3 linked regions of the Schizosaccharomyces pombe genome follow. The gene in region 2 interacts genetically with the main gene of each other region. Each region holds a gene or a part of one and is shown on either strand. Other genes may lie near its edges.

Region 1 (6,789 bases), 3.3 Mb from region 2:
TCCGTTGCGATAAGACGTAACAGCTTCATAACTGGGCGGTGGTGAAGAAGGGTTATGAAGGGCGGGCATCCAAAGCTGATTCTTACTTTTACGAATTTGTAGCCTTTTATCATAAATAATAAAGTGATGAACAAAAGAATTGTGATCTTGCTAAGCGAAAAAGCGACAGAGATCGGGCAGCCAAGCACAATGGAGTGTTAAATATTGTTTCTTTTATTTTTTTAAAAGATAAAAGAGAAGTACAGAACTCAAATAAGATAAAAGAAATTTAAATATATAGTAATAGTCCCACTTTCTTGATTACCGTCAATTTTTATAATCAATTACGGGTAATTCGATACTAAATCAGGTCTCCAGCTGTTTTCAATAGGTCTGATCCCTATTAAATTTAAAATCGAATGAAGGATTGGAGCAATTTTGTAAACGTCGATATAGGCACACTGATGAAAATTCGGGAAATGCCTTAGTATTTATACTTCGAAGTTTCCCATCTAACCATTGCTATACGCTTTCTTTTAAACAAAGAAATCATTAAATGGCGAACAATGGGAACTTTAACGGAACAAAGAACATTGTGCAATTGATTTGTTTACCCCAACAAATTAACAGTGAGAAAGCAGAACAAAGAAAACAGGTAGCAATTTCCACCTTTCGTCAACTTATTCCGAAAGGGGTTTTAATGAATCGGTAAATTTCATGTGATAACACCGATTGAATAATAATAAAAAAAGAATCAAAATAAGACATTTAAACAAGGATATGCAGTCGCTTGCCTATTTTTTGAAAGGAAATATTATATAAACTAGTAGAAGGAGATATGCTATGGCTGGATAATTCACAGATGGTTGGTAAATAAAGCTTACCCAGCACTCCTGGAGACTGGGGAAAAACAAAAAGTAAAAGAAGTAAGCAAAAAAGGATTATAAACAGTTACAGATATTTTGATACTTCTTAGTTGTTCACTGCATCTCTCCTGTTAGTTCCATTGGGTACTGAAATGACCCCAAAATATGCAATGAAAATGAAATGGCTTTTGTTATGAAACTTTACATCGCCAACTTGGAAGACTTTAAGATATAAATTAAAAAATATTGGTGTTTGTAATTATTTACAAGCACCGGCTTTCCCTTTTCCATGACTATATTCTTTTCTACTTTGCGCCTTGCAACGCTTCTTACACCTGCCCTATAAAAGTTTTTTTTTATTAATGAAATATTTTCTCTCTAAGTGACTGTAACACACTGTGGAATAACATAGCAGTTAAGAGTATGTCGTTAAAAGTGCTTGAATATGTTACCATAATATTAGACCGACTCAAATTATTTGCCCTCTAACTTCCTTTGAAAGAAAAGTTCCCTAGGAATCCTTAATAGTAAAACCGTTTTCTTTTTATTTTTACATGTTTATTCAGAGAACTCTCAATGTGTTTTCGCATTGTTTGCTTTCGTATTTCCTCTGTGCTGAAAATGCGAACACTGCCTACTATACTGTATAGTCCTAGAAATCAATACTTAATACATTCTTTAAATTTTGGAGATGGATCAAGTACCATGGTATAGATGATGTTTACATAATTTGGATAAAAATTACAACTTACTTTACTACTTATGATTCCTTCAAATAAAGCTTGTTTAAAACAACGTTCCTCAATTCAATTTTTAGCTATATAAGTGTAATTATAAATACTTCTTGGTATTCTTAACGAGTATTTTAGGATATTTATAACTATTTACAATAAATTTATTATACTATGTACATTACACTAAAAAATATCATTGCAGTACTATCGTATCTTAAAAACGAATTACGACCTGTATGGTTGACATGTAATCTAGTTAAAGGATTTTTGGATAGCGCTGTATAATTTGGTTGAAAATGCAAAGACTAATTAAAAAAATGTGGCAGACTACGCTATCCTCGTTACGTTTATCAATGCTGCCAAGACTTGCTATCAGTATAATGTCGCATAGTTGTATATCAACGTTGACTTTGCCAACTTTGTACGAATGCCGCTGCAATCGCTAGTCAAAGCATTATGGAACGTCCTTCATGAAGAAGAATCGGAAGGCTATCCCGATTTGACTGAGTTAATTGCGGAAGTTGAGTCGTATCAGCAGCGTTATCCCAAACAAAACCCCACTAACTCACAAAAAATAAGACACATCTTGGACGAGATCTACGAAAAGACGCCGTTCAATAATACAAGGCGACGGATACTATGGCTAGCTGTGTTGAAAACGGTTATACCGTTGTTGATTTTGGATCGCCAAGCAGTTGGTGAATGGTGGGACCAGATCTTTTTTCCTTTCTTGAATTCTCCTACCCAATTGAAACCGGTATTTAGTGACTTGAAAAGTATTTTATTTTACATTTTAATTTTTCACGACGAGGATGAATGGGGTGGAGACTTGAGACGGGAGTGCGCTGAGGAAACTATCACTCGTTTGGTTGACCTTTACGTTTCTAAAGCTATCGAAAATCTAGGTGACGTGGAATCTCAAGAGCAAAGGAATCAAACTATTGAATGCTTGGTTAATGTTCTCGTCCATTATGGGATACAGAGACCAAAGGAACTTTCTTCTTGTTTTTGTCATCATTTTTTAAATCCTCCAACCCGAATCCCTATTTTATCAGTTATGGTTGAAGTAATACGGCGGCAAGGTCCTCGTTTATATGAAATACCACAGACTGGCTTCTATGACCTTGTTTTAAAATGTGCGGAATTTGATACTTCACCAATCTTACTGTCGTATGCATTATCTTTCATCCTTATGATACTGTCTCACATTTGTAACTCCTTAGACGATTCCTTATATAGATTGTTCTGTATCTATCTTCGATTTTCAATGATTGACCCGACCTCTGGCTTCCCATCGTCTACTGCGTCTGGTAATTGGGAGGTGTTTCACGATTTTATGTCAACGTATGCCTCAACTACCACCTCTCAAACAGATAGCTCTTACAATGATGTTCATGATATTGTTGGTTCTTCTCAACCAGATTATCTCGAAAGTCTTGACTACTCTCAACTTTTCTCAATTTTGTACGCTCTGTACCCTATAAACTTTTTAGAGTTTCTTCGGGATCCTAAGTTGTATGCTTCTAAACATAATTTCCAAATACGTTATTCCTTTAATCAAGAACTCCTCTCCACAAAGTCGGATGGTCTTCTCGGTAGACATTTGGCACATTCTAATTTTCTTAAATATACAGCAGAAACAGAACTTACCGATAAATCCCGTTGGACAAGACTTGATTCTATTGCTGTAGTGGCCCTATGTAATAGTCTTAACGCTGTTGGAATAGCCGAAAGTGTTATGGATCCTTTTGGTGGTAAGCTTCCCACCACTTATGAAGAGACAAGTTCAGCTACTGGATTATTGGCCTATCCAAATGAAAGCCATGATATTGCTTCTGAGCCTTTTTCCATATCTTGGCCTCAAAATCCATCAATATCGGGTTCTGTTCATTCCGCGACTACATTTGACAAAGCCCAATTATCAAATACTGAAGATTCTTATGATAATATTTCGCATGGTACATCATATAGTGAAGGTGTTTCCTCAATTCACATGGTTAAAGGTGAACGCGGCTCAAATAATTTGGAACTGACTAGTGAAAGTTTGAGCAGCACGAACGATACAATTCGACGCTTACAAAGGGATCTGCTATTTCTTCAGAATGAGCTCCGTTTTGAAAAATTTGTTCGTCAGCAGCACTTGCAAAATATTGGAAAGCTTCATCGTGAGCACATACTAGATATGGCTGTGGAATCAGAAAGGCAAAAATTGCTTTTAACCAACAAAAGATATAAAGCTCAGATAGAGTTACTGAATTCTGAAATTGACAAACATCGCTCAGAATCACAGGCAGCTCTAAATCGTAGGGTTAAGTGGGAAAATGATTTTAACAACAAAATAAAAGCGTTACGAGAAGAAAAGAAAGCTTGGAAAAGTGAAGAATCAGAACTCAAATCATCAATTGAATCATTAATCTCGCAATTGGAATCAATACGAAATTCTCAAATTGACATTGCGTTTTCAAAAAATCAACTGGAGTTGAAGCTTCAACTCTATGAAACTAAGTTGAAAGAATATGAACAGCATTTGAGCTGCGTTAATATCTCCAAAAAGCAAGTCTCTTCGAGCTCTGATACTTCTTTTGGAAATACGAAGATGGACAGTAGTATGATTCTCTCTAACAGTGAAGCTGTTAGTGATGAGCAAGAAAGAGAGTTGATCGAGTCAGAAAAACATCGAATGAAACTGGAATCAGAAAACTTGCATCTTCAAGCTAATATTGAGCTACTGAAAAAGGACCTGGAAGCCATTAATGTTGTTTACGAGGCTAAGATTTTTGATTTGGAAAAACGACTTTCATCTGAAGCGAACGCACCTGAGTTGCATAATCCTGTCAACTTAAATTACGACGCTCAGTTGTCTAAAATATCCGAAATAAAAGAAAATTACGATGAGCTATTAACGCGGTACCGTGAGTTGGAGGGCAAGTTTTTAGAATCACAAGCTGAGGTCGAAGAATTAAAAAACTTTCAAAAACCGCTTGTTGATACTGGAAGCTCAATACACAGTAGCCCTGGTTTGCAACAAAGCAAGTTCATAATTCGTAATGACTCTTTGCATCCTAAAGTTGGCCCGCCACGTAGACAGTCTACTGATACAAGTCGTTCTACGTTTCGCCAATACTAAGTAGGTATATTTTTGAAGGTCCTTGAAATGAACTGGTCAATTATGATAAAACATACTTGCTCATTCCATATAAAATAATTAGATTACGATTTTTCACGACCATCATAATTCTGTGTATGAATCTCCTTATATAAAGATTTTTCATTATTTCCTTGTAATTACAAATTTAGTTAGATAAGAAAAAAAAGCTGACATCTAGTTAAAGCTTGAAACGTGGATCATTGAATTTTTCTTCTTTTCTCTTCTCGAGCAGATCGAGATGTTCTATCCCGTGGACGATCTCTTTGCTGTCGTGAATCCCGATCCCTTCGGTCGTCTTGCCTGGCCCTACGACGAGAATTTTCTCTTTCATCTTCCTCTCGTAGGTTGCTCGGGCTTTGACTATCCGAAGATCGGGGACGTTTATTTGAAGCATAATGAGTGCTACGACGACCATCTGCATCTCTGGAATCATTTCCCCTATTAGATCCATTACTTCTTCCAGCCCGACTAATAGCATTATTCTGCCGAGAATTACTCTCGCCAGAAATATCTTGCCTTTTGTTTTTATCTTTCCCTTCTGTAACCTCATCACGTTTATTATCGTTGCTTGTCCTATGATTAGCTTCAGACGAGCGCTCTCTTGAAACATTAGTGCTATTGTTATTAGACACTCGAGGGTTGCGATTTACGTTTCCATTTTGGCGCCATCTGTCAGATTTCTGTGATTCATGTTCACGCCTAGCATTTAGGTTTTGTGCTTGCTGAGGCTCGCGTCGAGTATGACGAGACACGCTCCTTAAATTATCGTTGTTTTCATTTGTAAAACTTCTTGATTGAGGTGTTCGGTCTCTAGACTGATCCTCTCGCAATTTACTGTCTGATCTTTGTATATCCTCATTCGTAGGGGTGCGTGTTCGTAAAGCACGTCTGTTTCCTTCAGGAGTTGTTTTTCTACGTCTTTCTTCTTGTTTTCTTTCATTAGCTGAGCTTCTAGCTTCAACCCTTTTCTCTACTGCCTTGTTCTCAACAAGATTTTTATTGTCAGTTTCAGAAGCAACTGCGTCGGAAGGCGTACTATCAGGTACAAACTCTGGTGCACTAGGATTCAAAGCTACTTTCTGTTTATCAATCTTTGCCTGTTCTTCCGATATGGAAGCAGTTTTGGAATCAACTGCTGATGTAGCTGCCACTGAAAGTTGTTGCGGTCTCTGAAGCTTTTCTGAATTACTCGGCCTTACAGTACCAGAAAATGAATTAAAAGAAACCCATTCTGGTTGCTTTTTTGAGAGCTTTGCAAAATACCCCAAAGCCAAAACCTTTAAATCTTCTCGTTTTTCTTCGTCCTTTAATCGTTCAGCGGCTCGTTTCAAAGCACTGCCACTTTCAATTATCAATGGGAAACATGGCAAAATTTTTTCCAAGATTATGACACTATTGTAGATATGCATATATTCAGTAGATAGTAAGCATGACTCAAAATAAGATGTTAGATATTTGTGCCATTTACTAAATAGCAAAACAAATTTGTTATAAGGAAGGACAGCGGAAAGATCGGGATCATTTTGTTCGTCAGACCAATATAACCTGAACCCAGGCAAAGCACCATTTGCCAAACATTCGCGTTCGTAAAGAATTTTGTCCCTGTACCAGCTAGTAATATCATAGAGTACTTCGTATAAAAATCTTCCAAAATTATCAGCCTCTCGTTGTGTCATTGAAAAAATAAATGAAGGCAATTGTGAATTAAACAAAATTTCTAAAAATGACATAGTTGAAAAGTTTGGTGTTCCAAGACTGTGCAAAAGCTTTACAAACTTTGCGCAGTACAAAGCATCATGTGGGCTCATTTTTAAACGGGGAGCAATGCAGAGTGTCCACAAATACCGAGCACAGTTGAATCTAGCATGCTCAAGTCTTGTACCATTAGGAAAAACACCATTTGGAATAAACCATTTCACGCAGTCACCTTGCAAAACTTTTCTTACACTCTCAAGTGAATTAATGTGTTCTTTAAGTTCATTCTGTAAGCTGTTAGACAATTGCATTATTTTTTGTCGGTCGTGTCGATGTCGTGAATAAAATGTGTTAGCGGCGTCAGTTT
Region 2 (5,494 bases):
CAATTCTCCTTAAAGGTAGCAATTTACGAACCTTATTCTGTTACCTTATCCAATGACATTTTAACCTCTTTAAAAGAATACTTTTTGTAGTTGTATCACGATATTTCACCTTCTACTCTAATATCAAGGTTTATACTGTTTTTTAACTCGCTATAAGAATTTATACTATTTACTATAGGTTCACACATCCAAAAAATAAATATTTGCACGAGATTTCATAGTTATCGAATTCGATATTACTGAATTTTGACCAATGTATAAGCATTCAACTTATTACTAACAAATGATAAATGTTTACGATAATAAACACAACTTCACTGTCATAGCTCTGCGGTCTGATTACACATGTATTGAAGCGGCTATTGTTTTCTTAATAAGCCCTTTTCATTCAATAAAGCCTATAGTTGTGGGTAAACTTTTCATGTCATCTATTTACTACGGTGACCAGGTAACTACCACATAAGCAACGACCTGGACAGGATACAAAAACCTTACCAACTAACTACCTATTTACTCACAGTTTCAAATAAAATGTTGAAAAAGGGCGGTAATTTCATAAATATAAAATCACTTATGCAGTACGTAACTTAATAATAGTAAATTAACTTATATGTTTTGTGCGAAGAGCATTAAGAGGAAATGTGTTTGCAAACAAGTATAAAAAGAAGAAGGAAAATGGTAGTAGAGAACACAAAGGTAGAACATGATGATCCAAGTATTTTCACTCAAATGAGAAAAAAAAAATAATTTCGGAAACTTTACACAGAAATTCTTTTTCACTGTTAAACACCAATAGTTCAAATATCAAAAGTAATCAATAGCTAGCTATCCATTTTACTCCTGACCAAAACCAATCGTCTCTTCAACAGCTATGGACAATTTATGATCCAAATCTTTTTTCGAAGTATAAGGAGGAAGATCAAGTCGATTGAAACAGGTGTGGGCCTTGGGAAGTTTATTGGGTTCACCAGCTTTTTCAATAGTAAACTTACGGGGGCCATCACTTCCTTGCAAATCTTTGAACCCGTTGACAGGAATTCGGCTAGTACCAGTGGTAAATTGTAAAAGTCTGGATTTCTTTTCATTACTCCATTCATCCATAAGTTCCCAAAACCATTTAATAATCTGGTCATTTTCACTGTATGAACGATAATCCGTATGCTTCTTCCAATCCTCCATGTCAATTTCGGAAATGCCTCCAATCAACAACTCCAATTCTCTCTCGTCAAACACGTTAATCAGTTCCTGTGGTATGAGCTCACTAAAACCTTCATGAAATGCATTAAACTGCTCTTCTATACGTTTTTGAATGCGCCATACAGTCACCAAATCAACATATTCGCGTTTATTCTCTTCTGTAACTTCAATGTTTCGACCATTCGGCTTCAAATCAATCGTAACAACCTCGCCAAAACAATTGTCTTCGACACTAAAGGTCAAATCAAGAACACCGGTTATATCGTTGTCCAAAATCCAGACTAAACTTCGATAATACTCTGCATCCATACTTTCCATATCCTGTAACGTCACCTTCTTTTGTAAAATCATTTTGTAAAAAGAAACAACGAAAAAGGCATCAACAAACCGACGATGGAAAATTGCGAGACCAATGACTCGGCCTATGAACTTGAAATAGTTCAAATGCTCTGGATTAATGCCAGAATGAGGATTAATTTGAAGCGTATAATTATCAACCGAAGAGTATTCAAATAAACAATAAAAGGGGTTGAACATTTCATGTGATAACAAAAAGAAGTATTCACGGGATAATCCACCGTAATCCAAACCATCTTCACCATCAAACTTAATCATCAAACGTTTTTTCAAATCGGTTGCAGATTGTCTCATAATTTCCGCATACGAATCTTCAAAGATATGATTTCTACGCACTTTAATGTGGCACTGCCCTGGCAAAGGATGCAAAGCTGGTTGCGAAAGGAAATAAATCAACTTTCTACGGAAATCACGTTTGTATTGAGGAACGTTTTGATCTAACGACGAAGGTAAACGAGGATCATCCCAAGTGGTAGTCTTGGTATTGTGATCAACAAAATATACACGAGCAGTATTGGTAAGACGCATTTCCCAACCACTTGGCAAAGGACCAAGTTGAGAGACAGGTTGTTGCTGAATAGTAGCATTATTAGGACCGCCATAGGAACGAATGTACTGTTGACGGCGCGGATCCACCCAAGTAGTAGTTCGCGTATTATGATCCACAAAGTAGGGTCGACCCTCTGGTGTATACCTTTGCTCCCATCCCGGTGGAAGCTCTCCTGAACCAGCAGTAGTAGCGTTAGAGGTCAAAACACTAGCTTCTGTACGACGAGCTGCATTGCTAGAGGAAGGTTGAACACCTTCGGTAACATTCGCAGACGATGCACTACTATGCAATTCGGCTGCGGCTGCTCCGGCAACAGAACTTAGGTTGGGGCGAATCCACGTTGTGCTTCTTGTATTATGATCTACATAATAAGTTCGGCCAAGATTATCGGTACGTCTTTCCCATCCAGGAGGAAGGCGCCCATATTGATCTTCAAATGAACTAAATGTGCGAGGTTCTGAACTAGCAGGGGAAGCAGCAGGTGCGTTGTCGCGGGTAGGTGAACCAGCACGAGAGGAAGCAGGGTTACGAGACACACTGCTACTTTGTGAGCTTTGCGGGTCATTGGTAATGCTAGTACGTTGGGTACGTGCACCTGATGCTGCACTGGATGGAACCTGTAAGGTTGACTGCGCAGTCGTTGATAAGTTTATGATTATCTTGCCATGAACTACTGTATTCTCATTTGACTTTTTCAAATCGCGGGTCAACATTTCATCACCTCCAATGGCGAGATCGAGCACATCTCCAACACGAAGATTTATCACTCCTAGAAAGCCTTGGCCTTTTTTCTTAAATTTTTTCTGATCGAACACCTGAATCGCAATGGTGCTATTATCTGTAACATTACTAAAGAATTGTTAGAAACATTGTTTTTAATCAAAAAGTTAACATTAGCTAAATTATAAGGGATAAACTGGAAGAAACCCCAACTAAAATTGATATACATAAAAGTTACTTGGAAAGGTCAAAACCTGGGATATACACTTACACTTCAAAAGTCTCATTCCAATAAGGGTTTAACGTCTTTTTGATAGCAGTTGTGGTATGTGTTTGCTCACCATCCACTGTTAGTACCGCAAACGGGTCAGGAAAACGAAACACATCTCGTTTGTAAAGGCCATCAGCAGCAACAACTATTTTGGGTCAGCGTTTGCACAGGGCATTTGAATAATGTCATCACATACTTGTTACTCGAATTCGACGAGATCTAATCATAAAAGTTAGCAAATGTGTTTATAGCAGTTAAAGAACTACTTACTGAGCTGAGTTTGACATAGGGGGAAAAGATGGTAAAATTTCAAACCAGCGTTGCTTTTGGATAATAAAAAAAAGCCAATTTCCCAAAGAAAGTCAAGTATTTGTGCTTGCAAAAAAAACTTTCAATTAAGGCCGTTTTATCCTTTCTATTTGATACAAAAACGCTTTTTTCGGGAACGAAATAAATAAAAAAGAACTACAAAAGGAATCCTTAATCAAATTCGTGCTTTCAGCGCACAATTTTGAAATCCGTCGGATTTCGCGTGGTGTTGGCTGAAAGGAGAATTAATCGGTCTTGCAGATTAGATCCTTAACGCATTATAACCCATTTCCTTATATATATACAACGCGATTACCAAATTGTTCTTTATCTTTTTTGGCGTACAGAAAATACGTTTTACGTGTTAACTACGAAAGTAAATATCATGCAGCACAATGTATGATTTGCAAGCTATAAGCATTTAATAAATTGATTTAATACGAAAGAATGAGGAAAATGTATATCTAACCACTTTGCGTTCAAGTGATAGTTAGAACTGAGAAGAAAGAGAGGAAACGAAGAATTGTAAAAGGTACATACAAGAAGGCAAACGGAGTGCCGCGAATAAAAGTAATAAAGCCAGAACTTAGCAACAACTCTTAAACAGACAATGCTCAAAATTTTTATTTTTTAATTATCAGTAGTCGAGCATGCTGGCCAAAACAAAGTTAAGTAAACATCCAGCCACACGAGAGAAAGTAGAGCTAGATGGTCCTCAACATGACGAAAGAGTAAGAGCGATAAGTGCAGCGAAGGGAACGTGACGCTCCATTACATATACGAGACGGTGAAAAAGGAACGGAAGGAAAAGAAAAGGAAAAAGTACAGTATGTACATTTATTTCAAAGAAATGAGATAACGAGATTGGTTAGGCGACTGAAAGTAAAATTGAAATGGCTGGTCATAAAGACTATTTGCTATCCACTTTCAATAACAAGAAACCATGGGATGGAAAACAGGTAGCTGTTAAAAGTTTCATTTCGTTTTACACTATTCAGGAAAATTGGCTTTCCGTCGCATTTGACAAGAATTCGCCATTCTGTAAAGAAATGTACAAATGAAAAAACAAAGCGAAACGGCGAATGAAACAGAAATGATTGATAAGTAATGAAATGCAAATGAGAAAAGGATAAGAATAAACAAACCAAAGAGACTTTTTTAAGGGTTGTATCTCACTACAGTGAAACAATTGAAAGAAAAATTCAAAAGTCAGTCAAAAGATGAAGTCGATTTAAAAGCAATAAGTTAAGGAACCAGATGACATATTTAAGACTTTGAATGAAATGCAAGCAACGAAATTTTCTTAAAAAAAGAGGGCCATGAGAAAAAGCAAATAGTTAAGTTTAAAAAGAAAGTTTGAAAGAAGGATAAATAGTTTGCTAAATAACTCCTTTTTTAAAGAAAGTAAACCGACGGACCAATTGATTGTATGAGATGGTATAAGCGAAACCCATAATAATAACAAAGCTTTGCAATGAGAATGTGAATTTCTAATACCATAAAACTGTTCAAGCAAAAAGGAAATGAGTGAGTAACGGTAAAACAAAGAGATAGCAATAAGATTGAAAAGATCGATTACTTAAGATTTTCGTAAAAAACAAAGGTAAAAGCCGAATAAAGAAAAAGTTGTTATACGAAAAAGTGATGAGCAAGCTTTTCTTCGCAAGACTTTCTACCATCAATTGAAGGCAAGCGTAACTAACGCATTTATTTTAAGCGACGGATATATCCAGAAATTGTAAACAAATAATTTTTGCTTAAATCTATCGCAACAAGTGTTTAAGCGCATACTTTAAAACAGGTTCAACCTGCGAGCTTCCGATGACGACCGAGGAATAGAAACGTTGCTACTTGATGGGTTGTCAGCAAAAGGTGAATAATTGGGCTGGTTAGAAGCACCAGTGCTTGTTGGGGAAAGAAGATTGCTTTGAGATCGACTAGACAGAGCTGCCCTCGAGCCGTAAGAGGATTCTCCAGCTAAATCACTAGCCATGCTTTCACTGTCACTTTCAGGAATCGTAGCTAAAGGACCTTCTGGATAGGAATCTGAACCAGAACCACTGTGTTCTGCAGCTTCGGCCGCAGCTCCA
Region 3 (4,371 bases), 3.9 Mb from region 2:
ATTATTTTTGTTGGAGATAAATAGTATAATAGTGCGCGGTTTCGCAAGTGCAGATTTAATTTCGCTGCTCGTTTATGACCTTTTTTATTTTCAAGTAACATTTTGACATATGCAGATAAACTTTAGTTGTCTATACATGCGTCAGTTGGCCAAGTTACTCATCCGCGATACTTCAGCGTGATTTGTTACACAATAAGAGTAAAATTGTAGAGTAGAATTCGTATTTTCCTATTTATTTATATCTATTTTATCGGTCATTTTATCTACTCGCTTTTTTTTTAATATCATATTTTTAGCAATGCCATTTACAGCTTTTTTTCACCGCCAAGATAAGTCTTGTATTCAAACAGCGTTGCTTATCGAAGCTCCTACTTTTTGAATGCTGAAATGCAGTACAAACGTTCAGTAATAGTACCAAATAAATCTTTGTACGTTGGATACTCTAGTACTGTACCATCAGGCTACGTTACCAAATGATGAATGTGCATTCAGAAATATTATAGCCACGATGCTAAGCTCGTACTTTAGGTGAAAGACATGTTTCATTAAACATATCAGGCCCTCTTCACTATCGAAATTCTTATGTCTTTGGACCAATTGATAAGGTTTACAATCCTGTATCATTAGGTACAGTGGGTTAACTAGCTAGTGTACTAGATGACATGCAATCAACAGCGCTTTTAAAGAAATATTTAAAAATGACATTTCTTTATTACTATAAAAAAATAAAAAGAATTGTATAAAGTCTCGGTTGTTATCCTCTTAAATTAATTAGCTCAATGGCAGATATTACAATATACGAAAAATTCAGTGACCAATCTGTTGGGTACGATTAGGGCTGACCTCATCAAATTATAGTCTCGTTTGTTCAAGCTAAGTAAAAAATTAGGCTTGCTTTACAGCGAAAATAATATATATTCATATATAACAACGGTTTATTGTTTAAAGGCTAGAAGTAATGAAAATCGTCTTTTATAAAAGTCTAAATAGTATGAAATTTGATATTAAGTAAGCGAGTGGCCTTAAACGCTCTATATTCTGGATCTGCAACTCATGGGGTGAGACTCGGTTGTGTCTATGTAACTAACCTTGCCACCACATTGTGCATGAAAGCAAATGATTCATTTAAACGTAAAGTGTTTCTCGTTTTATTTGACATGAAAGGAGCTCTTGAATTCTTCCTAAGTTGTTCATGAGGAGAAATTGTCCACTGAAAAAGAACAAGTTCAAACATTCGCTCATGACTTTTCTCCTGCCCGTAATCGAAATACCAAATTCCTTCTGTGTTCGGTAGTCAATACCTTGGCCGTTATCTCATCAATTAACAAGTTTCCCCCACCAATGTGATTATAGGCCTGGCAATTCCTTTGACAGAACGTGTCAACTGGATATTTGTGTAATTTCGTCGTTCTCGTTAATCCCATACAGTTTTTCATTGCTAATTTAACTCTACATATGGTTGAATTACAAGAGTGCTTGTTTTATGCTCACTACTTCCTTTTTTAAGTAGTATAAAAGATTGACTTCTGTTACACTAGTAATCAAATCCTATAGAAAGAATTTTCAATATTTTTGATTTATTGCCACTTATGTCATATTGAGATAAAATGCCTTAATCCAATCAGGTCTTTTTAGCTAAGTTATAATCAAAGCTTTTTGCTGCCGAGGTATTAATAGCTTACAAGTGAGTACACAACACCCTTTCAATCAATTTAATGGTGCTAAATTTATATAAACATACGATGTATAACAATCGCACAATATTTACAATTCACTATCCTGCTAAAATTGTATAAAAAAAAATAATATAACAGCCCACCTCAAATGTGCTTAATCAGTCTCAGTGAATTTAAAATTGAATAGTTACTTAAAAGGCATGTTTTTTAAGTTGATAAGCGTTAAAACCCAAGTAACAAGCTTTGTTACTCCAATCAAAAAGATAACTAAGGTACCCCGGTCCTCAAGTATAAACCACAGGCATGCACGCATCAGTCCGTGGCTAACTGTATCTTTTGCCACATTTTATGTCGAATACTCTAAAAAAAATATTATAGGAATTTATTACAAGAAAACATTCTCTTGTGGATATTGCCTAATTACTATGGGCTGGAGACAACTTGATATAGACAAAGTCCATTTAGCTTTAATAGTGGCCGGGGGATTTATAACATTTTTCTGCTATTTTTCAGAAGTTTTTCGAAAAAAATTACTAGTTGGAGAAGCTGGTACGTTGAAGATATTGTATAGGGTGGTTTTTGAAAATTAGCAATTGATATAAAATAAGACTAATACTAGTGTGTAGTTCTTGGAAGTATCACTGGATTAATATTTGGGCCTCATGCTGCTAAACTCGTAGACCCTTTTTCCTGGGGTGACCATGGAGATTACTTGACAGTAGAGATTTGTAGAATCGTACTTGATGTGCGTGTGTTTGCTTCTGCAATAGAACTCCCCGGTGCATATTTTCAACATAATTTTCGAAGCATCATTGTAATGCTATTACCAGTTATGGCTTACGGGTGGTTAGTTACAGCTGGATTTGCATATGCATTGTTTCCACAAATTAACTTTTTAGGATCTTTGCTGATCGCAGGATGTATAACTTCTACTGATCCTGTTCTATCAGCATTGATTGTAGGAGAAGGTCCATTAGCTAAAAAGACTCCTGAACGGATTCGGTCTTTATTGATCGCTGAGTCTGGATGTAATGATGGAATGGCGGTTCCTTTTTTCTATTTTGCTATCAAACTTCTTACTGTTAAGCCATCGAGGAATGCAGGGAGGGATTGGGTGCTGCTTGTTGTGTTGTATGAATGTGCATTTGGTATATTTTTTGGGTGTGTAATAGGGTATCTTTTATCGTTCATTTTAAAGCACGCTCAGAAATACCGTTTAATTGATGCTATTAGTTATTATTCCCTTCCGCTAGCGATACCTTTATTATGTTCTGGGATAGGAACTATTATTGGAGTTGATGACCTGTTGATGTCCTTTTTTGCTGGAATATTATTTAACTGGAATGATTTATTTTCCAAAAATATATCTGCTTGTTCTGTACCTGCTTTTATTGATCAGACTTTTAGTTTACTATTTTTTACCTATTATGGTACAATCATTCCCTGGAATAATTTTAATTGGTCTGTTGAAGGCTTGCCTGTTTGGCGTTTAATTGTCTTTAGCATATTGACTCTAGTTTGTCGTCGATTACCGGTTGTATTTTCGGTGAAGCCTTTAGTTCCGGACATTAAGACATGGAAAGAAGCCCTTTTCGTTGGACATTTCGGACCAATAGGGGTTTGCGCAGTTTATATGGCATTTCTTGCAAAATTACTGTTGTCCCCGGATGAAATTGAAAAGAGTATTTATGAATCAACTACAGTATTTTCAACACTTAATGAAATAATTTGGCCGATCATTTCGTTTGTTATCTTATCCTCAATCATTGTTCATGGTTTCAGTATCCATGTATTAGTGATTTGGGGAAAGTTAAAAAGTCTGTATTTAAATCGAAAAGTCACCAAGTCCGATTCCGATTTGGAGTTACAAGTAATAGGGGTTGATAAGTCACAGGAAGATTACGTTTAGGAAAGCTCTTTTAATGTCAATTCGGATTTCCAAATTATTTTCAAATGTATTGTGAATCGCTGTCTCTGGTCAAAAAGATTACTGCACTCATATTTTGAAATTCCTTCTATAGTTGATATATACTATAAGATAAGTGATTCTCAGAATCACAAGGCTAACCACCAACAGGGATGGAGTGTATATTTTTGTTGTACATATATATTATCTACAATAGAGTAATTTTCGGCTTCTATAATTCATTTATTTTCTTACTACTCTAAAAATATTGTATAATTTCTAAAACTGATCAAGATACTGAGAAAAGTACAAATCGTTATTTAATTTGTAATTTATTTTGATGGCTAAAACTTACCAATATTCGTTCGCTTCAAACAATACCAATCTTACGAAACACCTTACGCTTCATCAAAGTCTACTTTGGATCACCTAATATTTTATTATTTGTTGTTGTAATTATACAAACTAATACTATTTTATGTAAGAAACTAAGAAAACGGAAAATCAATAGCTACTTTGTGTATATAAATAGCAATCAAATTAAAACTTGATAAATCTCACCTACTAAAACACATCAACGTACTTCAAAGGGCCTAACTACTATAAGACTTGGTAATATTTAAATAGTGTTTCTATTAGTAGGTAGCTTCAAAGTATGTATAAAGCTTTTGGAAGTAGATGAAGTATTGAATATCTCCTCCTAGATCAGTTATTAACTAAGTACGACTGAACCGGTGCTCCCAATTTAGTTGCAATCTATTTAGATGAGCTAGAATATAATTACACAGT

What was found.
Region 1: of pub1 (region 2) and tsc1, changing one suppresses a phenotype caused by changing the other (phenotypic suppression), as found in Schizosaccharomyces pombe (one study listed by BioGRID).
Region 3: of pub1 (region 2) and nhe1, a mutation in one rescues a mutant of the other (synthetic rescue), as found in Schizosaccharomyces pombe (one study listed by BioGRID).

What each region holds. Positions count from the first base shown.
Region 1 is NC_003424.3:673,456-680,244, reverse strand, and holds tsc1 (Rheb GAP, hamartin Tsc1), read left to right. Parts: upstream 1-1,985; 5' UTR 1,986-2,006; coding exon 2,007-4,706; 3' UTR 4,707-4,924; downstream 4,925-6,789. Other genes in the region: G-protein-signaling regulator Rgs1, read right to left, coding at 1-69; THO complex subunit Tho2, read right to left, coding at 4,925-6,789. UniProt on the Schizosaccharomyces pombe protein: Together with tsc2, required for uptake of various amino acids from the environment and for proper conjugation. Involved in induction of gene expression of permeases and genes required for meiosis upon nitrogen starvation.
Region 2 is NC_003424.3:3,961,211-3,966,704, reverse strand, and holds pub1 (HECT-type ubiquitin-protein ligase E3 Pub1), read right to left. Parts: upstream 3,640-5,494; 5' UTR 3,383-3,639; coding exon 3,366-3,382; intron 3,315-3,365; coding exon 3,292-3,314; intron 3,241-3,291; coding exon 3,096-3,240; intron 2,954-3,095; coding exon 835-2,953; 3' UTR 533-834; downstream 1-532. Other genes in the region: protein Mtl2, read right to left, coding at 5,197-5,494. UniProt on the Schizosaccharomyces pombe protein: E3 ubiquitin-protein ligase which accepts ubiquitin from an E2 ubiquitin-conjugating enzyme in the form of a thioester and then directly transfers the ubiquitin to targeted substrates. Regulates ubiquitination of cdc25.
Region 3 is NC_003424.3:50,016-54,386, forward strand, and holds nhe1 (plasma membrane/prospore membrane sodium ion/proton antiporter Nhe1/Sod2), read left to right. Parts: upstream 1-1,973; 5' UTR 1,974-2,101; coding exon 2,102-2,225; exon of another isoform or gene 2,226-2,302; coding exon 2,303-3,585; 3' UTR 3,586-3,843; downstream 3,844-4,371. UniProt on the Schizosaccharomyces pombe protein: Sodium export from cell, takes up external protons in exchange for internal sodium ions. Involved in regulation of pH.